4 linked regions of the Medicago truncatula genome follow. The protein of the gene in region 1 binds, or shares a complex with, the protein of each later gene. Links are inferred from orthologs where the notes say so. Each region holds a gene or a part of one and is shown in the gene's direction. Other genes may lie near its edges. The genes, in order: 50S ribosomal protein L27, chloroplastic; 50S ribosomal protein L31, chloroplastic; 50S ribosomal protein L21, chloroplastic; 50S ribosomal protein L28, chloroplastic.

The links.
Region 2: 50S ribosomal protein L27, chloroplastic (region 1) and 50S ribosomal protein L31, chloroplastic share a complex: the UniProt entries of both Arabidopsis thaliana proteins name them as parts of the 50S ribosomal subunit. The link is inferred for Medicago truncatula from reciprocal best matches to the Arabidopsis thaliana genes RPL27 and emb2184.
Region 3: 50S ribosomal protein L27, chloroplastic (region 1) and 50S ribosomal protein L21, chloroplastic share a complex: the UniProt entries of both Arabidopsis thaliana proteins name them as parts of the 50S ribosomal subunit. The link is inferred for Medicago truncatula from reciprocal best matches to the Arabidopsis thaliana genes RPL27 and RPL21C.
Region 4: 50S ribosomal protein L27, chloroplastic (region 1) and 50S ribosomal protein L28, chloroplastic share a complex: the UniProt entries of both Arabidopsis thaliana proteins name them as parts of the 50S ribosomal subunit. The link is inferred for Medicago truncatula from reciprocal best matches to the Arabidopsis thaliana genes RPL27 and PRPL28.

The regions. Positions count from the first base shown.
Region 1 is NC_053044.1:6,288,326-6,296,155, reverse strand, and holds the start of 50S ribosomal protein L27, chloroplastic, read left to right. Parts: upstream 1-4,827; 5' UTR 4,828-4,907; coding exon 4,908-5,207; intron 5,208-7,166; coding exon 7,167-7,268; intron 7,269-7,358; coding exon 7,359-7,538; 3' UTR 7,539-7,830.
Region 2 is NC_053042.1:7,238,603-7,244,815, forward strand, and holds 50S ribosomal protein L31, chloroplastic, read left to right. Parts: upstream 1-4,645; 5' UTR 4,646-4,732; coding exon 4,733-4,798; intron 4,799-4,874; coding exon 4,875-5,219; 3' UTR 5,220-5,685; downstream 5,686-6,213. UniProt on the Arabidopsis thaliana protein: Binds the 23S rRNA.
Region 3 is NC_053042.1:47,104,907-47,112,843, reverse strand, and holds 50S ribosomal protein L21, chloroplastic, read left to right. Parts: upstream 1-4,986; 5' UTR 4,987-5,050; coding exon 5,051-5,341; intron 5,342-5,897; coding exon 5,898-5,978; intron 5,979-6,567; coding exon 6,568-6,669; intron 6,670-6,760; coding exon 6,761-6,835; intron 6,836-7,100; coding exon 7,101-7,190; 3' UTR 7,191-7,411; downstream 7,412-7,937. UniProt on the Arabidopsis thaliana protein: This protein binds to 23S ribosomal RNA in the presence of protein L20.
Region 4 is NC_053042.1:15,739,773-15,746,363, forward strand, and holds 50S ribosomal protein L28, chloroplastic, read left to right. Parts: upstream 1-3,954; 5' UTR 3,955-4,015; coding exon 4,016-4,115; intron 4,116-4,213; coding exon 4,214-4,321; intron 4,322-5,633; coding exon 5,634-5,866; 3' UTR 5,867-6,078; downstream 6,079-6,591. Other genes in the region: uncharacterized protein, read left to right, coding at 1-337, 422-629, 715-1,368, 1,449-1,592.

The DNA.
Region 1 (7,830 bases):
CATTAACTCTAATATTGCCAACTTATTACAAAATAAACATAGGGCATTTTATTTTGTTGTTTATATGATAAAATATTAGGTAAAACTTATATCAAAATAGGTAAAATTAAGAAGAAATATAAGCATGAAACAAATTATTGGGAAGAAAAGGAAACAAATTCATCACTGGAAATGAATTAAAAGAGATGGAAAGGAATTAGAATTGAACCTGATGGTGCAACAATGGAAAAATCGAATCAAAAGAGATTATTCTTGGGCTATGTAATTGGGCTAGTACATGTTTAAGTAACATTCATTATTCTTGCGGTTTGGTTTGGTTTGGTTCGGTAGCTGAGATGCAAACCGCAAACCGAACCAAACCTCGCGGTTCAGTGCAAAAGTCATCCGAATTCATCCGAACCAAGTGTGGTTTTTTGCTGTTTTGGTTTGGATTGGTTTGATTTGCGGTTTTTCTATTGGGTTGGTTCGGTTTTGAACACCCCTATTTTTAACCCAAAATTAAAAGATCTTGACAAGAAGCAAACTATACTTGTGTTTGTAATTTTTCGTCTTGTAATGAATTGAAATTAATTTTTTTAAGAGACTAAAGTGGATTATATTACCCACATCTTCCTCCCATGCAAACAACTTCCGCCTCCACTTTCAAACTTCCCCCCCTCACCCCAACCCAACTAATAGATATATGCGATTGTCGTCAACAAGTTATCAGACAACTCAGATAACCAACTAAATCTCATGCTAAGGGGTCGCCCACACCCACGTGTGCAATGCCCTAATTTATTATTTAGTTATTTTATCGAGTTTAGTGTCATTTTGAATAATTTATGTGAATAATTACGATGTGTGATGTTTTGTGTTATATGTTGGTGAATATTAGTAGCTTATTATAGTAATATTAGTGAAGGAATAAAATTAAATAGAATAATGAGGCAGTAAGGGCAAAATTGGAATAAGAGGGAATGTGTTAGGTTAAGAAAAAGGAGAGGTTAGGAAAAGAAGAGTCAGACACGTAAAACAGTTTTTGGAGGAAACGTGAAAGTGAGAAGTCAGAGAAGAGAAGAGCATTGTGAGAGGGCAAGGGAAAGCTTAAAGAATTCAAAGTTCATCCAATCTAAGGTAAGGGTGGGACTAACCTTCTTTAATATGAGTTCTATAATTCTGAAAAAGGGGCTAACTTTGATGTTGTTGATAATTGTGATGTTAAAGAAATTAGGGTTTTGAATTACAATTTGATTCTTGAAAGTGTAAGTAATCCAATGAATTAATTTGAAAGTTGTTGTTTAGGTTGTAGAGTAACCCTAGGTAATGTTTCCTATCAAATTTGGATCGAATGGGGTCAAAAATTGAGATTTTGAATAAAAGTGATTTTAAGTGTTTTTGGGAAATAAATGATTCTGGGATAAGCTGTTTTGGAGATTTGAAAATATGATTTTTCAGTAAAATATGATAGGATTTATTGAATAGAACGCGTAGGCGAAAACGGAATTGGAATCGGGTTAACGGTTGAGTTTTTACGTGTGAAATGGTAAAACCGGGAAAAAACCAGGATTGTACAGAGCTGCAGCGCATGTCACTAGCTACTGCCTGACCAGGCCTGGGTGCAGCTCGCCAGCGCCTGGGCGCAGCAAGACAGCCCTCATGGGTGACTGCTTTATTGTGCCTTCGTTTGCGTGCTGTCAGGACTTCGTATTTTGAGTTTTTGTGCTTTTTCACCCTTTTTCTGATTTGAATTGGCTTTGGTGTAAACATGAAGGTTTTAGATAATTATGTTATCTTTCCAATGGCGTTAGTTTGACTTGAAAATGTTTTGTGGATTTTGAGTTATGATGAAAACACTTCAAGTAGGTCTTGGGGAAATTTTAAAGAAATTTAGCATAACTATTTCCAAGTCATTCCAATACTTATGGTTTGGTTTCTAAACTTCAAACTTGAGTATTAAGGGGTTCAATTAAGGTATGCATGCTTGAGTTTCGTAATTATAAGTGTTTGAATGAAATTATTGTTTATTTGCGAAGAATAATGTTGATTAATTGTGAAATTGTGATGCGAAGTTGATGTTGTTGTTGTTGCATTTTAATTGTGTCATTGCATAATCATTTCATTTTAATTACGATGGCCTGGATTGGCACCACGATGGCCTGTATTGGTGATTTATTAAGCGAAAGGGGGTTGTAGCCTATCAAAGCCGAATCACGGCATTAGCGAAGGGAGTTGTAGCTCTGTTGGTACCACATGCATAATTGCATTGCATTGCATTTTATGAGTCATGTCGTTGCACTGTTGAGCGAAGTTAATTGATGATTTGTAGTTGGACTTATGTGAAGCATTGTTAATGATGAATTGCTGATGTTTTGTGTTGTTAAATTATTTTAAATGAATTATTGCTAATTATTATCGAGTGTGAAATCTCACCCCTTCTGTTTGAATGTTACCTCTATATGGGTAACGTGCAGATATTCAGGAGTAACAGCTGATGTGAGTTGAATTCTTGTGTCGTCATAGGAGTCATGCTCTGATACGTAACGGGATGGGAATTCTTATGTGTTTTATTTACCATTGTTACGTATCTTCTTATAATTTGATGTTTTACCACTTTTAGGTGAATTTTATATATGTTGTTGATGTTGAGGCCTCAGTGCCAAGTAATGCTTAAAGATTAAATATTTCCGCTGCGACATTATTTTGAATTATTGAAAGCAGTTGTTTAAATAAATAGTGAATTTAACTCTATTTGTGTTAAATGATATTTTGAAGAACGAAATGTGACATTCTGTTTGCGATGAACTCTGATTTATTTTATATTATTTATATGTTGGAAAAACGGGGTGTTACAACGTGTCCAACCAAAAAGAAGGTATTAACCCCATCACCGACTACCCTCCTCAGGTTATCATTGAACCAAATTCCGACTCCCATCTTAATCCCTTCACAAATCTTTCGTAGATCCCTCCACCACACAGAACTATCCCTCCCCCCTCCAAAAGTTACCCCCAAAAATTCACCATAACGGGTTGCTAGGACTTCGTACCACAACCCTCCGCTATCTACATGCATCCTCCAACACCATTTATCTAACAATGTTAAATTGAATTCCTTCATCCTCCTAATCCCCAAGCCACCATTTTTTTTTTACCTAAACAAACAGACTCCCAACTGACCCATGGAATCTTTCTAGAATCTGCCCCCTCCGAAGAGAAAAAAACATTTTAAAATAGAATGTATAGAGGTCATTATACATGTGAGAGCCTTGAAGAACGAAGAAAAATAGATCGGAAGAGAAGGCATGATAGGTTTCATTAGAATGATACGTCCTCGAAAAGACAAGTTTTTATTCGTCCACCCTAACAATCTAGTTTTAATTTGGTCAACCAACGGGTTAAATACAAGCTCATCAATAAATGAGTAAGGATCCTCTCCATTTATGAAAATAAACGATGGATGTCATTTTTAAGAAATAGAATGTTAAATTTAGTGATAATCACAATAATTTCTTTACTCAAAATACTAGACCAAGTGTATTCTTACAGCCCATATTCAATTAATTTTTGCAAAATTAAAATAAAAATCAATTATTTTTTATCAAATAATCTAGTTATTATAAATTCACATTTAATGTTGTCATGAGCTTAGCTCAATTGATATAGACAATGCATAATATATATAAGGTTTGGGTTCGCCACCACAAAAAAAATGTAAATGAGTGTGAAATCTGGAATTCCAACTCAATCGTGTGCATTTTATCAACAAAAAAACAAACTCAATGGTGTGTGTGTATAACTAGTGTGTTAACCTGTGCAATGCACGAGTGATAAACTATTATTTTTCAATCTCAATTTTTTTATTTTTTTATTGATGAAAAGCATCTATGCACCGTGAATTTTGAAATATGTCAATATTGTTTTGTTAAAAATAATATGTTAATATTTTTTTAGCCACAATGATGACAAATATGTGTCACATGTTTTTATGTTTATCAGTGGTAAATATATATCCCGTGTTTTTGTGTATAAATGAAAAATATATTTATGGGTTTTAGTTTGTCGTCGATGAAGCGCCGCAGCGGCTGTCCTTTTAGAGTCTTGGTGTGTGTTGATTCTATTGTGGTCACTGGTTTCGTTCAACATCGTCGACGTCTTGTAGAGCTATGGTGTTGACGCGATTATGAGTTAGTCTCAGTCTGTTTTTGGCTATTTTTTTTTCATTTTTGTTTATTGGCGTTTGTTTTCGTTTTGTTTCGTGGAAATGAAGATGGGTGGTGACTTTGTTTCGGCTCTGTGATTTTGTCTAAAAATCTCGAATCTGGTTTTTTGGATTGAAGATATGGGTTCTTTAGTTCTGGCTTCTTTGATGGATGCATATCTCGATTCAACATGACTGGTTTTATCTTAAGGTTCCTCGAAAGGGCTAGGTGCGTAGATGCTCTGTGTTGACGGTAGTATCGTTCATCATACCTAAAATATTTTATCCATCGTGGTTGCTTCTTGCATCGTTGGTGGACAGTGGTTGATTCTTATGTGTTGATTATACTTTGTTACTTTAGTATGTTATAAATGGTGTCATTAAAAAAAATTGTCTTAAATTGTGTAATTGAACTATGACTTTTATAATTCAACCTTACATTGCCACATGTAAATTTTCTTTTAAATTTGATCTTGAGATGTCATATGTATCGTTCATTTTAAACATTCTCAAATGTATCTATAGAAGATGTGATGTGTTATCAATGTGCTGCAGAAAAAAAATAATAATGTTTTTTTTTGAATGGCAGAAAAAAAAATTAATATACAAAAATATTAAAAAAAATCAATTAAATTCCAAATTTCCCCTTATCCACCTTCATTTTCATTTCATTCATCCCTTCTTGAGTCTTATCTCTCACTTCTTCAGACAACCCAGCAGTTTCCACCATGGCTGTATGCATGGGTTTCAACATAGCAACAGCATTCAAATCACTTTCTCTCTCTTCTCCCTCTTCTTCATCTTCATCTTCCTTTTTATCAGGTTCCACCACTCTTCGTATGACTCCATCAGTATCTCTCCCTCGAATTCATCATCGGTCAGCACTGATTATCCGGAATGCTCATAAGAAGGGAGCAGGAAGTACCAAGAATGGCCGTGACTCGGCCGGAAAGCGTCTCGGTGTTAAGGTTTATGGTGACCAGGTCGCTAAACCTGGTTCCATCATTGTTCGTCAGCGTGGAACCAAGGTGTGTTCATAATCAGTTTCTCTATTCCATTTTCAAATTTTAGACAAAAAAAAAATGACGTGTCATATGAATTTATGAAATTATGAACATGTTAATTGTCGTTAAGAATTATATTTTGGGTGAATTGAAAAAAATGAAATTGGTGTAGTTTGTGTTCAATTAGAGCTTATAGAAAGAATTAAAGAAAGGATTATAGATTGGTGTAATTGGCATGTTTAAAACCAGACACTGCCATCCAGAAGTCCTAGCTCATCTGACAAATGCCGAAATTGTTAGGCTGATACCATGACCGGGGTTCGAACCCCGGTACCTCCACTTGTGTGTGTGAGTTTATAATGGCTTTGCCATTTCGTCTATCTACCAAAAAAAAAAAAAAAAAACCAGACACTGCCTTGCTCTGCTTTGATATCCAAATTATCAATTACGAAATGTCACATTTTTGTTTTAATTAATCATTTGAGTCTGATATATGAGACTATGAAGCACAGACACCTCTGTCATTAAGGTCTCTGTGTCCGACACACGACATGTGTCCCCCAAAAAAATTATTTGCTTCAACACACTTTTACACTCCTTCGACACTCCTCGTAAACTTCTATGAGGCTTAAAATTGTGTTGAAGTAGTGATGATAAATGAAGGGGTTGAAGATATCATTTTTTTTTTAACTTTTCTGTATAGTAGATGAATGGATGGATGAGGTGAAAATTTGTTATATTTTGTTTAATAACTTTGTACCAAATGGCTCAATTTAGACGTACATATATATTTTAGTTCTCGATTTAGATCTTTAATAAATAATGCTCATATCTTATTTAATAATTATAAATAAATAAATATGTATGTATCAGTGTTTGTCCTATATTTTTAAAATTAGCATTGTCAATGTGTCCGTGAGGTGTCAGTGTCAGAGTTCGTTCTTCATAGCTTACTCGTAAGTACGCTTTGACACCACTCGTTTTTTAAGTCCTACGCTGACATTTGGACGGACATCCAAAGAGAGTGAGTTGGCAATTATACTATTTTGCCGATTTATATCATTAATTTCAAGATGCAATTATAAGAGTGAGAGTTGCAAAAATAGTGAGTTTTTATTGTTCTCTCTAGTTATGGGTTTTTTTTTGTTGTGGTTAGTCACTGAAAAACCCTTTTTCTTTGTTATGGGTTTTTTAAGTCAAGTTAAATGACAGAATTCATCTTCTATAAGAACTTGTTATTTTAAAAATTCTTAGATATTGTCTCTTTTTAATAAGTGTTTCCTTAGATGTTTAGGTCAATCAGAACAGGTAAAACATGTCTACTTTTGCAATTTATATGCTAGAGCCTAGAATTCCATATGAAGGGAACTAAGAATGATTAAGGTCTTTTGAATAATTGAGTTGCATTGTGTAATTGACAATATCACCATTGATACGATTGTTTTTTATCAGTATGGTAAAGTTGTAAGCGATTCCACAACTTTTATTGCACACTTTATACTGACTGAAAGAACTTCTCATGTTTGTTCTATACTGATTGTAATAAATGCTATTATGGAAATAATGTGGTCAATTTTTTAAATCGCAATCACGGTTAGTGGTGATCCTGGATATTATGGAAAAAAACATGAAAAAACACGGTCAATGTAGCTACTTTTTGCTGTTGCGATGCGGTTGCTGAGAGTTGAAAAACCTTCACATTGAGTTTGTATTTGTGGTTATAGGCACACAGAATATAGTAAATCATGATAAGGTTGTTACAGGCACACACAATATAGTAAATAGGTGCATTTGTTGTAGCAGTTTTTAAGATATTGTTGAATCTTTATTGCCTTGCTGTTTTTCTGACAATAACAACCAAAGTATTTTTTTTTTCCGATAGACTTGGCTAAATGCATCTAATGATGTTGTAATGTGAATGTCCTATCATGAAACTTACTGTTTCTCTAAGTTCTAATATTTTTTTCTTTGCAAAACTTGAAGTTTCACGCAGGAAAGAATGTAGGGATTGGTAAGGACCATACCATTTTCTCCCTAATTGATGGAGTTGTAAAATTTGAGAAATATGGACCAGACAAGAAAAAGGTAAAAAATAGTCTTTCACTGCTTTCTGTATATGACCTGTAATCCTACAGTACAAATTAACTAGCTAATAAAGTTGTAAAAATATTACAGATCAGTGTTTACCCACAAGAAGAACGGGTTCCGAACCCCGATAGCTATAGATTAAGGAAGATAAAGTACTTCAAGATGAGGCGTGAACGCAAAAAGGCTGCTAAAGAAAGAAGAGCTTTTCAACCACAGCTAATGCTCGCTTCCGTTGATGATACCGCAATAGAGAATCCAGATTGTTGATTCTATACTTCATTCACTTCACTGTGTAAAATCTAGCTGTCTTCAGTTGTTTTTCTTTTGTGTATCTGGGAAACCTTTAGCATTGTAATATTGTATTTGTTTTCTGGCAGCAAAATTGTACCGTACACGGCCAAAACTGTTCCCTAGTGTCCCCAAACCAATTACAAGACAGTATAGCCATTCACTATCAATTTGTTTGGGTGTGTAATTTTCTTTTTGAGTAAATGAAATGGTCTTTTGCTTTGTTTACATGATGTAACTCACATTTCACCTTTACAAGCTACCTAAGTTG
Region 2 (6,213 bases), on another chromosome or scaffold:
ATTAGTGAGACCTATTTTAGAGTTTTGGAGAGTCGTGTGGATATTTAGAAAAATGTAGTTGGGTGGTTTAAATAATTGGAAAATGTAAAGTAATATAAAATATTATGTGAGACCCATTTATACTACTCATATGGGTGACATGGATGTGAGTGCTCTTAGTTACGTTATTTTGTGAATCATGATTCAAAAATATATATTGTGAATCATAAATTAAATGAAATAAAAAATAAACTTTCAATTAAAAGCTTTTTTTTATTTTATTTTTGATAAATTTAGTAAGCTTTGATGCATTTTTGTTAATACATTTTTTGGTTCGAAACATGGTTAAAAGTTAAAACATTAGGTTGAATTATTTTTTTTTAGGGACATTAGGTTGAATATTTTATTTACATTTAATTTGACTGACTTAAAATTTATTTTGGTCCCTTATTTTTTTTTATTCACTATTTGGTTGTTTCTAAGTTTGAAAATATAATCTCAATTTTCAAAATTTTGAAAATGTAAATACAATCCACCATTGAACTGGAGGTATTTTTAGGTGACTTGTCAAGTTGAATAAAAGAATGAGCTGCCATGTTACATTAGTGGGTGACAATGCACATGCAAGTTGTTTTATGATAATAAAATTTAAAATAGAAAAACGAAAACCCCTAAAAAAAACCAAATTCACCAACAAAAAATGCATTTGTCACCTCTCAAGTTAAAGATATTAAACATCCCTAAAAAAAGTTTAAGATATTAAACATAAGATCTAAGAAAGAATCTGAGGATTTGATAATAGGTCAATTGATTTAATAAAAGATAAAGAGTTAAAAGTCCATTATTCAAAAAAAAAAAATATATAAAAAGAATGTGAGGTTTTGATAGGTCCATTGATTTAATCTAAATGATAAAGAGTTAAAAGTCTTACATTTAAACTGGAACGAAAAAGAGTAAATATTAATCTAAACAAGTAGTATAATACGTATAAGTTTGTAATTTCTTTCAGTCAGTTTGAATAGATTTTCCATTTTCGGGAGAATAAACCTTCCTAACCTTCTACTAACGACCTTTACGTTGAGCACGTTACCCACCAAATGGTTTTGTTTCTTTATTGTTTTATTTTATTTTATTACAAACTGGTTTTTTGTTGTTGTTGAGCACGTAACCTACCAAATGGTTTTATTGTTTGGTGGTTAATGAAGAAGACTAATAACCGCCGGTAATAGCTGATTTTTGTTGTTGTTGAGAAATCCAGCAACAGCTGATTTGTCACTAATTCATTCGATAGATGTAGATAGAATATAATCCAGTAGATAATCTCGCACACGTTTGACGACTTGCATATGATATTGTCGCTCGAGCTAGTAAATGAGTTACATTGTTGATTTTCCTTCTAATAAAACTTATCATAACGTTTGGAAAAGATTGCATAATAGTTTTACGAGCATGCTAAATTTTGACATGCTTTATCGTTTATGCCGTCTATAACTAGCTTGCAACCTAATTTTATACACTCGAGTATAACCCAAATTCATAAGCCAAAACAACGCTTGTGTTCAACCCACATGCTTGCGCCTCTTGAGAATTTGGTTGGCTAAAATTCTAAATAGTTTGTGCTCGTACACAATTTCTCTTGTTGTCCGAAAACAAAGATGTCGACACCGAATGTGTTCTTGTCTCTAAAATTAGTCGCATCAACATATACTTCCTCTAGTCACACAATACATTTAGTATTCACCAAACTTAAAAATAATTTTTGCTTATAAATGTGTCCGGAATGAATAATTAGTTGTTTTTTGTGTCGATATAAATACTTGATTTATTATTATTAGGAAGCCTTAATCCTTAAAATTTAACTAGTTGAAACTTGAGAAGTTTGAATGGTGGGCTATGTGCTGCATTTGAAGTTGGTGGTTACAACTTACAATGTTGGAATTTTAGTTAGAGAAAGGAATGCACAGTAGTAAGGAAGATTTAAATATAACGACAGTGACACTTACAATGTGGCGACGATGACAGCTGATAGGTTTACAAACAAACAAACAAGGATTTCTAAAGTTAGCACATATTTTTGTGATGTTCGTGTTTTTCTTCAAAATCACAATGGTTGTTGTCACGTGGTATCATCACATACACCTCACAATGTTTTGAGTAACAAACGACCATAAAAGACTAAAAAAGGAGTACTGTTCCCACACTAATTTTAGATGGATTTGCTTCGTATAAATTTAAGTCACTACCTATCACGTTGGTCTTTTTTTCTTGGCATTGCCTATCAAATCAAATTGGATTAAAATGCAATGTCATGGGGATTTAGATTTCCCATATTAAATTTAAGACACGTCAGTTAATGTCGACCGTCCTATCTCAAAGTAAATGGGATAGGTTACTTAAAAATTACTATTCAGCTAGAGAAATATAGTTAAAATGACGGTTTAAGATTTCATATTTAAAAATAATTTTTAAAAAATTAAATAGTACATTTTTTAATGTGTTGAATATACAATTTTTTATTAGAAAAAGTATATTATTTAAGGTTTTTGAAGAGTGAGTACTCGGATAATACCATTTTACATCTTCCTTAAAAAATAATTATTGTACTATCTATATATTGGGGGAAAGAAACAATATGTGGATTGGACAAGAGGACATACCACTACATAAATTTCGAAAATAAAAATTACATCAATGTAAACGTTAATTTTCATTTATATTATCCTTTCCAATTTTTTTATCTTTGCTGGAGGAGGAATTAGAAGAAAAAAAGTGCAGGGGTGTTCTAGGTCATTTGTGGGTCCCTTCAATCCGATGATCCATACAAGTTTATCAGGTAATTTATTTGAATTCATTTGAGTTTGGATTCAACTCAATTCAACCCACTCAAATTTAAAGTGATTTGGATTGGATTGTTGTTTATGTTTTCAAATACATGAATTCACAAATTTGACTCATTCAAATAAACTTTGATTTTTTTTTTTAGGAGAGTAAACCTTGAGTTTATTATATATAGATTAAGGCTTTTATGTGTTAGTAAATCATAATGGATAACCAACAATATCAAAACAATAGAAAGAAAAAGTAAAAATATAATATAAATATTTGAAAGAAAATTATCACAAAAATGATCAAAAAATAGTTTATATAAATATCATTCATCTATCCATATTGACATGTTTGATTGTACATTCATTACCTTTTTCAAGGGTACGATGTAAAATGGTTTTCCAATCCAAAATTCAGGAGGATAAAGTAAAAATAGTGAGAAAACAATAGAGAGATAAAGTAAAAATAATGTGAGTATGAGAGATAAAGTTGTCACAAAAGTTGTCATTAAATAGATGTTCAAATATCATTTCTCTATTGCAGAAATGATATTCTAACAACCTAGGTTGTTGTTACGACAACATATTATTATACGGCCTAGGTTGTTGTCCACTTATTTTTGGATGTTCATATATCACTCTTCTTTTTAATACTACATATTTTTCTCGACAAATGTATTTTGTGGTTGAACTTTGATGGCGAAATATGGGATGCTTATATGATATCTAACTTGATTTTATGGAAATGAACTATTAAGTGAGAACTCACCTAGACATTGTTTTACATCAAAACTGTTTCTTTTGTGATATGGATTAATGACGGGGTGTATACGAACCGGTTTTTAAGGATGAGTTAGGCCTCCAATTTCATTATGGTATCAGAGCCTGTCGAATTCAAGGGCCACCTACCGATTCACGCACCAAACCCAAAGAGTGTTGGGCGTGACAGGGGTGTATTGGGAAAAAAAATCCATGTCCCACATAAGATATATAAGACTCTTGGTAAAAGTTTATATAGAGGAGACAATTCTCACCTTAAGAATCAATTTTTAAGGATGAGTTAGACCTCCAATTTTATTAGATCGTGTCATCAACTGAGTTGTCAGATAAGCATCTCATTTATCACATCATCAAAGAGAAAATTGGCGATATAAAAATAGGAGTACCAAAATCGCAAAGAAGGCAAAATGGAGAAACCAAAATGAGATTTAATAAAAAAAAAATAAAAAACTTTGTTGTGCATGCGTGGTACCACATTGGATTTGTCATGGTCATGATTAACTACTGTAATTTTTTTTACTATGACTACGGTAATTTTTAAAATATACACTTTGTGTCTATCTATTTAGAAAAAATAAATGAAAATCACATTAACAAAACACATCTATCAAACTCTTTACTTTCTATCTTATTAAATGTAAGTCAAATTCACACATGTACTCAAACATGCTATATTTAACTTGCAAAATGACGATAACTCATCGTGATTCTGAAAAAGCCACGGTGTCCCATGATATGAAACATGCATGTAATCATAATTTATAATTATGCAATAAATGTATATATACATATATGTGGTCTCACACATACCATACATTATGATTAAAGTTGCAGTTCTCACATCCATTGTTTTTTAGAAACACATAGAAATGACAAAAAAAAAAAAAAAACAGTGGTAGTTAACTAGCGCTGACTTCAAAATAGAAAATCGGTAGTAGTTAACTACCGCTGAGTTTTTTGGTCATTTACTAATGTCTCTAAGAAACAATGGATGTAAGAACAACAACACTCCATCATGATTTCCTAATGGGCTTATTGGGCCTCATGAAATGAAAGAAAAAGCCCATTTTGAACTACAAACAAGAACAAGAACATATGTCCACACCACACAATCTCAAATTCTCATATCTAATCTCATCTGCAAAAAAATGGCGCAGTGCATTACCAATACCTTTGTTCAAGGAAAACCATTCCTTCCACTTCCCACAAAAAACGTAGTAACCAACCACTTCCTTAAAATTTCCAATTATTGTTTCTGTATTAAACTAACCAACATGTTTTTTTTTGTAGTTGCAGAATCAAAAAGGAAAAAAAGTGGGCAATTTCGGAGTGTATTGTAAGAAGAAAGACATACACCCAAAATTCCATGAAGATGCTAAGGTTTACTGTAATAACGAGCTTGTGATGACAACTGGTGGAACCCAGAAAGAGTATGTGGTTGATGTTTGGTCTGGGAACCATCCATTTTACCTAGGTAACAGGTCTGCTCTTATGGTGAGTGATGATCAGGTGGAGAAGTTTCGTAAGAAGTTCGGTGAATTGTCACAGATTATGGAGATTCCTGTGCTTAAAGGTGAGATTGTTATTCCTTCTAGACGTAAAGGGATTAAAAGTGGTGGAGGGAAGAAGAAGTGAGTTATTTGTGTTGGAATTGTAATTTGATTGTATGGTGTTTGTTAAAATGTTTCTATGAGTTTTTGTTTTGTATTTTGAATGATTATTTATTTGATGTTGTTTTTGTTAGTAATTCATGTTTGGATTGTTGCGAGATTGGTATAATCACTGTGAGCCAATGTGATTTTGGATAACCAAAACTACATTTTGGAGCTTCGGAACTCGTTGTGAATCCAAACATACACTTATATGAGAAACAAATATGGTTTTGGATTCCCTATTGTCTGCATTTACGCAATCATGAATCTCGACTATTGAATTGGATGAAGTTATATTTTAAAGAAGATTTCTTAATGCTGTGTCTGTTTTTCATCCAATGGTTGAGATTTGTTGGCTGTTGTTGTAATGTGTGATTCTTTCAATTGTAAAGAAACATGGTTTTTGATATATTTCGAAAGGAACTTGCATGTTGTGTATGCTTTTTTAACAGGCAAATGTTATTAAGCTAGTTGCCAAGTTAATTTCTAAGGATCAAACTCTGAACTTTGTGCTTAAAACTAATGAAGCGTCCATTAGTTTACTAATCGGGCTATTTAGTTGAGATGTGTGGTGTACGATTCTAAAATATTAGAAACTTTGTTGAACTTGGGTACCATTTGCTACTGCAAAGAAAGTACGGCCACAAAGCTTACCTTTGTTTTAATTTTATCAATTAAGAATTGAGGAGGGCAATGAGCACTATCTTTCTAATAATGACATCTCTAACACTCATTCTTTTCATTTATTGGATGAAACCAATCTCGGTATCATATTTTGAAAATGAATTCCACATAAAGTGATGAACCCATATGAGTTATACTTATACTCGAGTGTTAAAAAAAGAGTGTTTCTAACTTTTATCTTAAGAATTAGACGATGCCTTAATTCTTGGAGCTAAACTAGTTAAGGGCGTGCAAAAGGAGTTATAGCTATTATGCTTGAACCCTTAACTATGGTTGTGATCATCTATGAATGT
Region 3 (7,937 bases), on another chromosome or scaffold:
TCCATTTTGTCGGCGGTTTAGCCCAAGTTCGATCAACAGTCTGCACATAAACATTGAGACGGTGGCACCACATATAATATTGAACCGTATCTAAAGCTAAAACACAAGATGCTTTAGCGTTAACCAATTTTTGTTCCCATAAGCATGTATTATGAGCACACCAAATACTCCATAAAATAGCCATAAATCGTGAACGATCTTCCACATCAAGAGCTGCAAGAATGCTAAATATAATAGATGAAAAACTACCACTTGATGTCATGTGTGGTCTCTATTTTTAAGTAAACTCATATGTAGAATTCATATTATTGAATAAATTTTTGCAAAAAAGTTTAAAATATTATAAGAATCTTTATTAAAAAATATTAGAAATTTTTTAACGAAACATAAATTAAATATGAATTTTAATATTTTTGGTGGTTAAAAATTCATATTTAATTTATGTTTTGTTGAAAAATTTTAACTTATTTTGAAAGAGATTTTTATAATATTCTACACAATTTTATTAAAAAATAAAAATGGTACGACTTTAAAATAAGGACCAAAATTGATAATTGACAATTTTATACGAGTAAATGTCGAAAGAAATTTTTAGAGAAAATAAAATGAAAATTTGATATATTTATAAGGACCATAAACATATGAGTCATGTTAACCAGTGCCCCGGGACACTAGTTAGGAAAACTAAAAAAAGAAAGTTATAAAGTGAAAATAACACATTTTTATGTTTTTGAGGAATTGACAATGCAAATTTCAATGTAATACTTACTACTACCTCCGTCCCTAATTATAAGACCCTTTTGAGAATTTTTTTGGTCCCGTTTTATAAGATTCATTTGCTATTTCCAACTACATTAGTTATTTATTTACATACCTGCCCCTATTTATTATACATCTTTTTCTTCAATCAGCAAAAAATTGCATATGGAAAACATAAACTAACTCTCTTTCTTAAGGATAAAATTGTAAAAACAATAGTGTGCTCGTGATTTTCGGATATCAAACCATTAATTGATTTGAATCGTTAATCTTTGAACTCTCGATTTTTATTCGTGGGAAGGGAAAAAAATGAGTAAAAACCCTTAAGACTTTGGATTCGGGGGTTGGTTACGCGAAGGGAAGGTGCTAGCACCCTAGGCGTCTATGGTATTTCATAGGAACCTCTTACCTAAATTATCTTGTGCTAAATTGATTTGCTTATTTGAAAATTATTACCTAAAAAAATCTAAGTGAAAGAATGGAGGGAGAAGAAGTATATTTTTGGTTATTTTTATTTGATTTTGAAGGATTAACTCCTTTGCCTATATACCCTTAAAGAAAAGGGATCAAAACCAATGTAGTTCACCTAAAAAATTTCTTTTTGGTGGGTTGGATTGATTTTAACAATTTTGTAAAAAAAGATTTTAAGAAGAGATTAGAGGCCTCAAGGCATGAGAGAAAAATAAGATGAGGTTGGTCAAATTTTAATTACAAGAAAATCAAGTCTAATATGAATATTAAGTCAATTAAGCATTTGATTAAGAAAGTAAAAGGAAAAAAACACTTGGGTTACCAACCAAGGTTTATTAAGAAAATATTTCTGAAGTTTTGCATATTTGATTTTTTTAAACTAACGGTGAAAACTAACGTAACGGCGTAACGTAACAAGAAATAAATGTCAAGTGTCGGTGCATGTGTCGGTACATATTCTCATATGGATATTTACAAGGGACCTATATACATGCTAAAGCCTCAAGAGAAAATAAACGACAAAAACAAAAAAAAAAAATAAAGTGCACAAATTAAATTATATCAATTCCTAAATACATACTAAAAATTAATGACAAGAAATTAAAATATGCATGAAATGATTCTAAATAAAATGCAGATATAAAATAAAACCATAAAAAGAGTAAATAACAATTAAAAAAAATCACAATATTTTTTTTGGAAACTTTGAAGAAAATTTTTTAAACAAAAGAGGTGCAAAAAGTGAAAACAGTGGTGACAATAGGAAAACAATAGTGAATTTTAAAAACAGTGGGCTCAGACTGGACAAATCTAGACCGTCTGATTAATCAGAGGATCCAGATCCAATCACAGGAAAGACTCATCACAGTCACTGGATCAAAGATCCAAGGGTTAAAAAACAGCATAAAGTAGAGAAACAACACAAGAAGCACAGTGACTGTCAGATCAAAGATCTGACGGTTTAAACAGCAGGCACACAGTAGACCGCAGACAGACAAACACGGATGGAACACACAGTAGCCATCAGATTTTAGAACGATCCAGATCTGATGGTTCACAGCGCGAGGGATCACCATAGAACATATACGCGCGTGTAGGAAACAGAGGGAGTATATAAAGGGAGAGACAACAAGGAAACAACACAAAAACATTTATCATTCTAAACTTAGAGAGATTCTCTCTCACTTCTCTCTAAAAACTTTTTCTGGAAAACGGAAGGAGGAAGATGAATCTACATCTTCTCCGGCGAGCTTCGCCGCTCCGGCGCAGTGGTTTGCCGGCCCAACAGGGCGGCGCGCAACAACATGTTATAGATCTGTATTTGAAATCTCAAAAAAAAAAAATCATACTTTTTTCAAAAAAAAACGACGGATCTAGACATCCTTTTCTTTCTTGTTACCAATTTCAAATTTAGTTTTCGAAAATGAACAGCAAGCATGTCTAGATCTACATCTTTTATTTTTTTCAAAAAAAAAAAAAAAGAAACGAATGAAGAAAGAGAACGAAAGAGGAGAATCAGTTACCTCTTTGGATCGGTTAAGATCTGGAGATAAAAGTCTTCGGAAAACTTCAAGTGCCTTCTTCTTCTATTCCTTCACGTGAAGCTTACATTAGATCAAGATTCGTTGTGTTGTTGTAATACCAAAATTGTTGTCGTTTTGAAACGATTTGAGAATCGGTGATGTTGTTCTTGCTCGAAAAATGGTACGATCTTGGTGGTTATATGATGATTCGAGTTGGTTGTTGGGGAATCCGGTTCAAATCTATGGATTTTTGTGATTATTTGTGCTTGCTGGAAAAATCTAGGTTCATATGTTCATGATGATGTTCACGATGAACTTCATGATTTTTTGCAGTTTGATCTGGAAAAGAGAAGAAAGAGAAATTTTTGGTGTTTATAATTAATGCTGCTGAAATCTCTGACGCGTTTGACATTGTGCAGACTTTTTATTGTAAAAAACTAGGGTTTGAGACTGATACATACCAATGACGAAAATGCCCTCTACTGAAACTTGGGCAAAAAGAAACCCTCAGGACCAATAAGAACAGGACACATGGACTTAGACTTAAAGAAATAAAACTAATAAAATAAAAGCAAAATAAAATAAAAAGAAGAAGAAGAAAGTCACTCGTGACTCTTCTTTTTGGAAGGTTAACAAAATAAAAAAATAAAAAGAAATAATAATAAAATTGATAAAATAAAAAGATAAAAATAAAAATAAAAAACTGTTCCTTCGAAACTAAATATGGTACTTTAAAGTAACCTCCCTACCGAAATTTTGATCGAGACGACTAGAAAATACGGACCAACTTTTAGATGTTTATCGTACAAGCGGAAAAAGAAATTTAACTAAAACGGAAAAGGGGAAATTCATTTATATGCGAATACGCGCAAAAAGATTTTAATTACATACCGGTACGGATAAAACTTTAAATGCCTAAAAAACGAACAAAGTGGTTTTTAAACGTACAAAATGCGAACAAAACTTTTAACTACTCAAAAATACGAATAAGAGATTTTCACTACTTAAATCGTGACTAAAAAGGTTTTGACCACTGAAAATTACAAATTAATAACGATGAGCATATTTAACTGATTGAAAAAACGAATGAAAAATATTTTAACCAACCAAAATACGAATAACAACGTTAACTACTTAAAATATGAATAGAAATATTTTGATGAGCTAAGAATATGAATAGAAAGTTTACCTGACTAAAATACGAATGAAAACAAATTGACTATTTTAAAAAGCGGAAAAAATTAATTGGTAAAACTTTAGGGTATGACAAATAGTAATTACAAACAACATTAATACAAATACACACTTTCTTAATTCCCGTAGTTTTAGCAAAAGAGTCTTATTATATATAGGGACAAACGTAGTACATTTGATATCTTAACCAGTGCGCCCCGGGACACCGGTTAACATTTTTCCAAACATATTTAATCCAAATATATACTCCCTCCGTCCCGCATTAGATGACTCATTTGCAGATGTGTAATTTTGACCTAACTTATTTTGACCATATTTTTCTATTAATATACAAAGATAAATAATATCATATAAGATGTCGTTAGATTTGCCTCGATGAGTATTTTCAAAATATCAAATTTTTATAATTTTTTCTAATATATTATTCAAGATATTTAAACTCAAAATTATGCATTGATATGCGTAATAAGGTCAACTGTGTCAAGTATTAAGGGATACAAGGAGTATTTTGTATTATACTCTTCTTGTCTCATGTTAAGTGACACAGTTGACCTTGTCACACATACCAATACATAATTTTAATTTTAAATAACTTCACTAATCTTTTAGAAAAAATTATAAAAATTTGATATTTTAAAAATATTCATTAAGACGAATTCAATGATATCATATATATATATATATATATATATATATATATATATATATATATATATATATATATTCGGGGAGTGGTTATGGTGCATAAGGAAATCCTTATGCACCGTGCATAAATCCCAACATAATTGTTTCCTACACCCCCAAAGTGAGCCAAAACCATTTTTGTTCAAAATAAAAGAAATCTGATAGTTGTGATGTGTTTATGCACGGTGCATAAGGAAATAACTTATGCACCATAACTTTTGCCATATATTCGTACAAAAATACGGAGTTCAATAATACCCATCTTCAAATGGGTGTCATCGTAGGACGGAAGGAGTAATAAAAATGAATAAAATAATAATAAAATTGGGTTTGTAAGAGTAAATAAATGGATAGGATGAAGGAAGAACATAAAAGGATAGAGTTGAGAGAGAGAGAGAGGAAGTTCTCTCTTCTTCAAAATGGCTTCTGCAACTGCTTCTACACTTTCAACTCTCTGTTCTTCTTTCACAACCCATTGCTCAATAAAACCTCATTTCTCTATTTCTCATCAACCTTTCTCTTCTCGTTTTCCTTCTCACAACCTCTCTTTCCAATCCACTTTCTCACAACGCTTGCCTCTGTTACCCGCTCCCAAATCCACTGAATCTTCTGTCGCGCCTGTTGATTCTGATTCTCAAGTATCGGAGTCTGAATCCTCTCAAATTGTTCAGTCTCCTTCATGGGAGAAGGGTCTTTTTGCTGTTGTAATGGTGAGTTTTTAGAGGATTTTTTTTAATGTTGAGTGTGGATTGGGTGACCCTTTTGTTTCAATTGTTCAAAAGTTGCATGCTTTATGTATAATTTTTAATCTAGATTGCTCTATGGGTGAAGGCGACGCAATTGAGTTTGCATATTTTTGGCTCTATGACCATGGTTTTATCTATTTTATATGTTTAGTCATTCATCTGAAATTATTTGTGATTGAAGTATCGCACATTAAAGATTAGGAATGGTTAGTAAAGGACCCCTGGAGTTTGGCCGAATAGTAAGTCAAGTCTGGCCAATGATTGTTCCAACCTATATTTTTGAACTTGGGTTCTCCCGAATGATTCGTCCTTAATTGAATTTATTAATCATCTAAGCTCAATAAATTAGTTAATAAAAAAGTTAGTTTGGATGTTTAAACTGTTTTTTGTATTGTTGGACTACTTCCAGTTTGTTGGGTTGGTAAATAGGTATTTGCTGTTTATTGTTTTGGGGTCTCTGTCTCAAATTTTATGTTCTGTTCTTTTGCTTTTTAATATTTTCTTGTGTTGTTTTGTTTAGATTGGTGGGCGCCAATATATTGTTCATCCTGGCCGCTGGCTTGTTGTTCAGAGGCTCAAAGGTGCCAACGTTAACGACAAGGTATACAACTTGTTTGTTCTTAAATTCTGCCATTTGACATGTTCCACTTATTCATTTTTGGTCTTTTAGTTATGCAGTATTCGTTAAACTCATTATTTTGTTCTATATGTGATTGTTAACATCACCAACCTTTGTTAACATCACCAACCTATTATCACCATTTGCTTTGCACCCTAAACATTGCCTCTAAAATTGCTACCATTTATTAAGTAATGTTAGCTTGCTCATACAATATATTTAAAACTATGGTCGGCCTAGGTATGATGCGAGTGCTTCCTGCTCCCTTTCTGGTTTCGTGAAATTGACTATCATTAATGACCTGAACTATGGGTAGGACCTATAAATATAATATAAAAGGGTTCAATGCAAAAGTAAGTTATAAGAAACTAGGCCTAAAGAGGTATTTTAACCATATGATGTGAGAAATGAATGATTGAAATTATAACCATTGGTTTTCAAACCAATGATTATAATTTGTCACTTTTCCCTTTGAAGCGATTTCTTCCTTTTCCATTATCTGAACATCTGCTGTTATTTTCAAAGCGTTTTTTTATGCACTGTACATTAATTTTAACTCTTGGAATTGTAGATCGCCCTGCATAAGGTTTTACTGGTTGGAACAGATACATCCTGCTACATTGGCAAACCAGTGGTAACAAATGCTGTGGTATATGCGACAGTGGAAGAGCAGGTACTCTTCATTCTCTCTGCTTTTGTTCTCCTGTTAGGAAAAGCTAAAAGTAAAATACATCTCCTACCTTAACCATTTTGTTTTAATGCAGGGTTTAGACAACAAAGTAATTGTATTCAAATACAAAAGAAAGAAGAAGTATCGTAGAACTATTGGACACAGACAGGTATATTAGCTATCCTTTTACTTTGCAATCCAATTATTTATCAAAACTTTGCGCGATTGAAATGTCTATATGTGGCTTGGGAATTAATTCTTATGAGCGAATTATCTTACCCTTAAACTTTCTGAATGGAGCTTAGAAATATGGGAATCCATGTTGTATATATGATGAATGTATGCCTGTAGGCACATGAGGCTTCCATGTCATTTTTTATGAATATTTAGTTTACCAGAATTTGATGCTTGATTTGGTTTTCAACTTGTGACAGCCAAATACACGCATCCGGATAAATAGCATTATGGGCTATGAGGACTACCCAAAAGTTACCATGGACGATATAAATTTGGAATCATCATGAACATTTTGTGCGCTATGCGAGTATTGTATCTTCTTTCATCTATAATAACTATTAGCAATCAATTTGCCATGGTTAGTTTTGCTTTTATCATGGATGGAGTTGTTTGAATGTTTATGTAGCTATTGTATGTCATTGTAATCTTTTGTTTCCAAATACATTGCTATTTTCCAGTCTCCAATTATCACTCCAATTCCTACTATGAAGAGCCTGTTTACTTTGAATGTTACTTTTTCAGTTCTCTTTACCTTGCATAGAAAGATTTGTTGGAACAAATTTAATTTGAAAATGTTAATCATTTTTTATTGGTCCCTTTCATCTAATCGGAGGAGCAAGCATATCATATATTTTGAAGTATTTTGTTTTTTAAGTACACAAGCAAATTATAGTCACTCCTTGGACCGGATACCCGAGTTTCCAAAAAAAGAAGAGTACAAGCAATTACGTTTTCATCTTTAATTCTAAAATACGTTGAGATATTGAATTTACTTAAATCTAAGGTTAAGTATATTTTTATCTACTAAATGTTCACTGTCGTGAACATTTTTATTTAACATCTGATGTAGGAGAAATTCTTGTATAGTCACAAACCCAAATTGAAGTTATTTAGGCACACACTCATAAAATACATATCATTTAATTATTTTAAAAATACATATTATTTAATTATTTTCTCTTTCATACTTTTTAAATTCATGTGAGTGTGTCTAGATGAGTTTTATTTATGTTTGTGTCTAAGCAACAACTGAT
Region 4 (6,591 bases), on another chromosome or scaffold:
AGTTAGTTGAACAAGTTGACGAAGTTAGCTTGAGATTTATGGTGGATAGAGAAAGGAACAAAGTTCTATATGTAGAGGCAGGGAAGGATTTTGTTGATACTCTTTTCAGCTTCTTAATATTTCCTTTAGGGACTATTGCAAGACTTGCGGCTAAGGAGTCAAATATCGACGCAGTGAAATTTGGAAGCTTGAGCTCATTGTACGAAAGTGTATCGGATCTTGGAGAAGAACATTTGTGGAATAAAACTTGCAAAGAAATGCTACTGAAACCAAGGGTTCCCATGGGACTTTATTACCGGAAACTCAAATTCAATATCGATGAATCAGAGCCGTTGAGGTACTACCACTGCGAGGACAAGACTTGCAAAATTGAAAATAGGTATTGTGTGAGCTTCTTCAGGAATCAAAAATGTATCTGTAGAAAATTATTGAACCAAGAAAGTTTCGTAAATTCCCTAAAAGGAATTGAAGAAAGCGGTTTTGTCAAGGAAACTTCAACTTTTATCGTTTCTGACGATCTTTGTGTGTTGGCGAATGAAGTTGGAACAAGCTTAAATCTTTGTCAGAAGCATGGAGTCAATGACATTGATACTATTGATAAACGAACCGTTAATATCAGCAAGAAAGAGGCATGTTTTCTAAGTATGTACATCGTATATGTACTTTCCGTTGATTATTCTCCCTCTCTAATTATTTAATCTATGCTTTGAATAGGTAATTGATATTCTAAAGTTATCTTTGGTCTCAAAGACTCCTTTGACAGACTTTATCTATAAAAAGGAACAGTTTGTTGGTAATTTAGACCCAAGAAACCGGTCGGAATTTTGGATTCGAGAGGTAGATGAATCATCTGATGAAATTAATGACAAGATGGTTGTGAAAGTACTGAGGAGAAAATCAAATGAACAAATTCTGTTTCTAGAGGCGCAAGATGATTTTATCGACTTTGTTTTTAGTTTTCTAACCTTCCCCTTAGGAGGAGTGTTGCATATGCTTCAAGGATTCTCTTTGTTAAGCTGCATTGATAATTTATACAAAAGCATGATTGAGTTGAGTTCGGACGGATGCATAATTTCAGAAAATCTCAAAGAGAAACTAACTAAACCGCCGATTCCTATGCAATTTGAACTCAGGAACCAAATATTACCGATAGATACCAAATATAAGGATTATTATACACAATATAAATTTATTGATCCTAAATCCCCTATTTCTGGAGGATATGTCAAAGGACCGATTACCTTCATCGTGACAGACGACATGGTAGTGACCCCGTTATCATCCATTGCTGTTGTTTCCTATCTAGAAAGAATGAAGGTTGCCTTTAATGATGTGGAGGAAAGGGTCATCAGAATTGGTAGGAAAGAGGTAAGGCAGTACATGAAATGAAACTTCCTCATTTAGTATAGCTTTTCATTTTAGTAACATATTTTGATTGCATGGTGTAGGGTCTCAGCATACTAAAAGCTTCATTGACCACAACTTCTACTTTGACAAACAGTCTCAGCCTGTTGTGGAGCAATTCAAGAATGAATAAAGGTCCAAGTCTATCCATACAAGAGCATAGCTTGCAAGAACAGTGGAGTACATAGCTTGTGATTGTTTTTCTACCAATGGGGTGGTTGGAACTTGGAACACTTTTATACACTATTGAATTTATTAAAAAAAATTACCAAACGGGTGGTTTTCTATTGTGATCGATTTTTTTTGTCAAATAGTTTAATGATTAGAATTCACTTTTTAAGATAAATAAATGGGACGTATGTGATTCCAATCTTGACCGTTATATATTACAATGCATTGTGATTGATTTAGTAGAATTCGTTTTTATTTTGATGTCATATAATCAAATTTTAGTTGCCGATATGTTTCGTTTGGTGTTGGGGTCTGATGGTGATGGTGGTGTTTGGGATTTGCGGAGGGAATTGTTTTGTGGAGGAATGTATTTCTTTGTTGGAAAATTTCTAAGGTTACTTCAAATGACTGATGAAATTGGAACACCGTTCACAATAATAAATAAGAGCACTGCTATTTATCTAGATAAAAATTATCCCGATGGTACAGCGAATAACACTTAACCAATCACCTCTATGCCTGGCCACAAAACAAGTAAGATGGTGCTATAATTTAGGAAAAAATAATGAGTAAAAACAAGGTCGTACGTAAATCATTCGTGAGGAAATCTGTCTAGATAAGTAGCATTAGGCAATAGATAATGCTATGTTAAAGAAGCTTACAATATACCGATGTGGAATTTTAGAGGTGAAAAATCATCCTCTTATATGATACTTCCTCCGACGTAAAATACATGTCGCAGTCAATCATTGCACACATGTCAATACACAACTTTGACAATTAATATCTTTAATTATATATAATAAAAAAATTAAAATTTTAATATTTTAAAAAATATTCATCGAAACAAATCAAACAACATCTTACATACTAATATTTGTATTTATATATTATTTAAAAAAATTGGTCAGAGTAAGTTATGTGAATAGTGTACATTGTAAAATTGCGACATGTATTTTGAAACGGAGAGACTAGTTTAAAACAAAATGATTGATGAAAGTCTTTTTCTTTAAACGGTGGTTATTAACTAATCGTCTTCTTATTAAAGATAATTGTGTAAAATAAATAATTTTATTATTAGATGTCTTTTTTTTGTGGTGGCCGGGTTTCGAACCTCGGACCTTGCATATATTATACATTGTTCATATCAACTGAGTTAAGCTCACAAGAACTATTGGATTTGATTATATGTGCAGGGACGTGGGTTTGAAGAAGGAAAATTCTATGGTGAAGTTATAAAAATGACTTTTTTGGTGAAATTAACACTATAACATCAAAAATGTAATGAGTAACATCCCACCGTTTGTACAATGTCATCAAAAGTTCAGTCATCGTAGTATCATCAATTCATCAGATTAACAAGACTACACTTAATCTAATTTTATCCTACCTTGTTATAAGCGTAACACCCCACAAAGTGTAACACTTAAAACTATCACATAATATCATCAACTATGTATGCATGTTAAAGATTCCAACGATAAAATAGTACCTGTAAATCCAAGATGTTGCAAGCATTACTAGATGAATTACTATTGATTATTAATCAGCAATCAACAATTTAAAAATGAAATCAAACATTAAAATCAAAATTAACTTTTTCAAAAAAATCAATTTCCTGACTGAACCGTAGAAGCTCCCTTTGAAGAATCTACACAACATATCTTATCTATTCGATAAATGTCCTACACTTCCTAGTGTGGAGAGTTGATTTTGGTTGGTTGGATATTCATAACACTTTTATTAATGTGGTTTTGGATTATGCGTATCAATTTTGTTGCCTAAGTTTATAAGGAAGATGTTATTGAAAGAAAGAAAAAAGAAAAAAAAAATTATTTAGTTATCTTGCATTTGAATTATATAAAAAGTGATAAATAATATTATTTTGGTGTAAATTTTTCTCAACCTTTCGATTATGTTGAAAAATTAATCTCAATATTGGTTCATATCAAAGGAAAATAGTTTTAACTTCGAGGTATTATGATATTTTAAATGTTTGAGATTTTAATTTTTGGATTGTTGATGTTATTGGGGCATGAAATTTGCACTATTTTGCTTTATTTGGTAGTTGAATATTGTTATTATCCGCTTTATTCTTTTTTATACAAATTACCCGCATTATTCTATAATAATTTGGTTTCACTCTTGACAGTGACACATCTTGTACTTTGAATATTGATTAGATATATTATTTGAATTTTCATTAAAAAAAAAATGGTGGAATCACAACAATAATAAACTTTTTCTACATAAATATAGTTAATGGGATAATTTGACGGATTAACATTTATAAATAAGAGATTCTTGTAAAAAAAAAAAAAAAAAAAGGATCATTTATCTATTTTCCTAATAAAAAACAAATTATTTGAAGGTAGATAATTTGAGAAGAGGCAAATAAGATTGGGTTGGATAAGAAGAAGAAAAAAGAAAAGAAAGAACAATGGCGGGTTCTGCAGTATCACTTGGAAACACCTTCGTCTTCGCTTCTATGCGCTCAATTTCATCAACCAACACTCACAAACCCTCTTCATTCTCACCCCGTAACTAACTAACTTAACTAACTTCATCTCAATTTCATTTTTTTATTTATTTTTTGCTAAATCTGTGTTGTTCAATTATATAATTTTTGTGATTTCAGAATTAGGGTTCTTGAATTCTCAGTTAAGCGGTCTCAAAATCTCGTCTCAGACTTCGCTTAAATTGCCCACACCAATTGTTGCTTCTCCCTTTCAACCAATTGTTGCTAGTAAGTTATTGAAACCAATAATTCATATTCACTCTCATTTTCACCATGTTATGAACTATGTATATGTATAGTGTGCTGCCCACATTTTCATTTTTAAATTTAACAATTCTTCTGATCTTTTTTTATTTTTAATGTAATGTCATATTTTTCATTAATTTTTTCCTAATCTAATTGTGTGATATACAAACAAATGCGTGCGTTTTGACACGCGGACCGTGTGGAGCACGGGTCTGTTGCTAGTTTATGTTTTAATAAATGGAAATTATAAAATGTTATTGATGTTGTGCCGGTGTTTGACACTAACTCATGTCATTTCTCTAATTTTGTCGATTTCGTGTCATTGCTCTAATTTTTAAAGAATGGAAGTACTTAAATTTTGTCGATTTCGTGCCAGTGTTGACTCTAACACGTGACACGTCTTCAATTTGAAGTGTGAATGCTACATACTAGTTTGTTTCTTGCGGGAGTAATACTTGTATCATAAGCACTTATTGAAGTTACTTTAATGTTATTGAGTTTCTGATAAGTTGTTCCAGTAATCACCGTCTTTATGCAATAATTCCTTGTTTTTTGGTAGAATGTGATTAAGTGATATTTGTTTCAGTCTTAGGTATATTAAAGGAAGAGTTTTCTTTGTTGAATCTTGTGTTAAGTGAACAGATTAATAGAAATTGGAAACCTTTTATTTTCATAACAATATGGATAGGGAAGAAATGGCTACCTTTAAGTGACCAACTATGGTTTGTGTACTTTTTATTTATTTAAAAAGTAACATATTGCTGTTGGTTAATAAATATTTTTCATATTTTATTGCGGACAGAGAAGTTTTGCACTGATATTTACTCCAGCTTTCATCGATAGAGTGACAGATAAATACCCTTCTTAGTTTATGTTTGCCTATAGTAACAATTCTTTTTTATATATAAGAGAATAACAGAACATGCATAACATGGTGCGGTACGATTTACCTATAACTGAGTTTTTTAAGCATGTTGGTAGAAGTTTATTACATGACCTGTTTGTATATAACATATGTTACCTTATATGATTAGTGTTAAAAATGGGGTTAGTGATTCAGTTTAAGACCTGTTTGCACAGAAGGACATATGTTATGAGATGTCAATCCATTAAATAATAAGTTTTTGGCTCTTAGTTAGAGATACCATGGGTTCACCCAAAAAAAACACATTTGGTTATTGCTATTTGATGCCAAACTACATCATCATTGTCTAAAGGATGCTACTGCAAATCCTGATTATTATTATTATTGTAAATCAATTTAACTTGGTATACTTTGGTTTTATTTTTTCAGAGAGGGTGTGTCCCTTCACCGGAAAGAAATCAAACAGGGCCAACAAAGTATCCTTTTCAAACCATAAGACAAAGAAATTGCAGTTTGTAAACCTCCAGTACAAGCGAGTTTGGTGGGAAGCTGGGAAGCGCTTTGTAAAGCTTCGTTTGTCAACTAAGGCGTTGAAAACCATAGAGAAGAATGGACTTGATGCAGTTGCAAAAAAGGCTGGAATTGATCTCAGTAAGAAATGAGAGAACAAGATTATGATTGTAATTGAGTAAAAGGATGGATCCATGTTCATTAATTTTTGTTGTAGAATTTATTTTCTTTCTGTATTATTTTTAGGGACTGGGGTTGATTCTGGCTATGGTCAAAAGCAACTTGAGTTATGTAAACAAATATGAAGTTTGTGAGTTTACTATGTCATGAATCTTACAAATGGAAATCTCTTTGATCATCCCCTAAACATTTATCCTGGACCGTAGCACTGGGAATTTCAGCCTTCAATGTTACATTTTGCATTCAATTATAATCTAGCGATGTTGCATAGGTGCGGTACGGGTACAGTACCTGGTACGATACGCATACAGGTACGAGAATACAACAATTTCTAAAAACTTTAAGGTATGGGTACTTTAAAAGAATCATGAGTTTTGTTATACAATATAACATGAGACAATTAAGTTCTTCAATTTACAACAAAAACATCACAATAAAAGTTAAAAAAGAATAAAAAAAAAAAATTAGTGTTGGTTAGAACAACAACAAAAATTCATATATTACTTTATTATCATATCAATATAGAAGAGAAAGTCACAATTAAATAATGAACAAAATTGAAATACCACGAGTACCATACACGGGTATTGTGTACTTCATATTTTTACAAGTCGTATTTTTAAGAGTACCCATGCTTGAGAATGATTTAATACACATCTAGTTTATAAAAGTTAATTTTCCATTGATGACAAGAAAA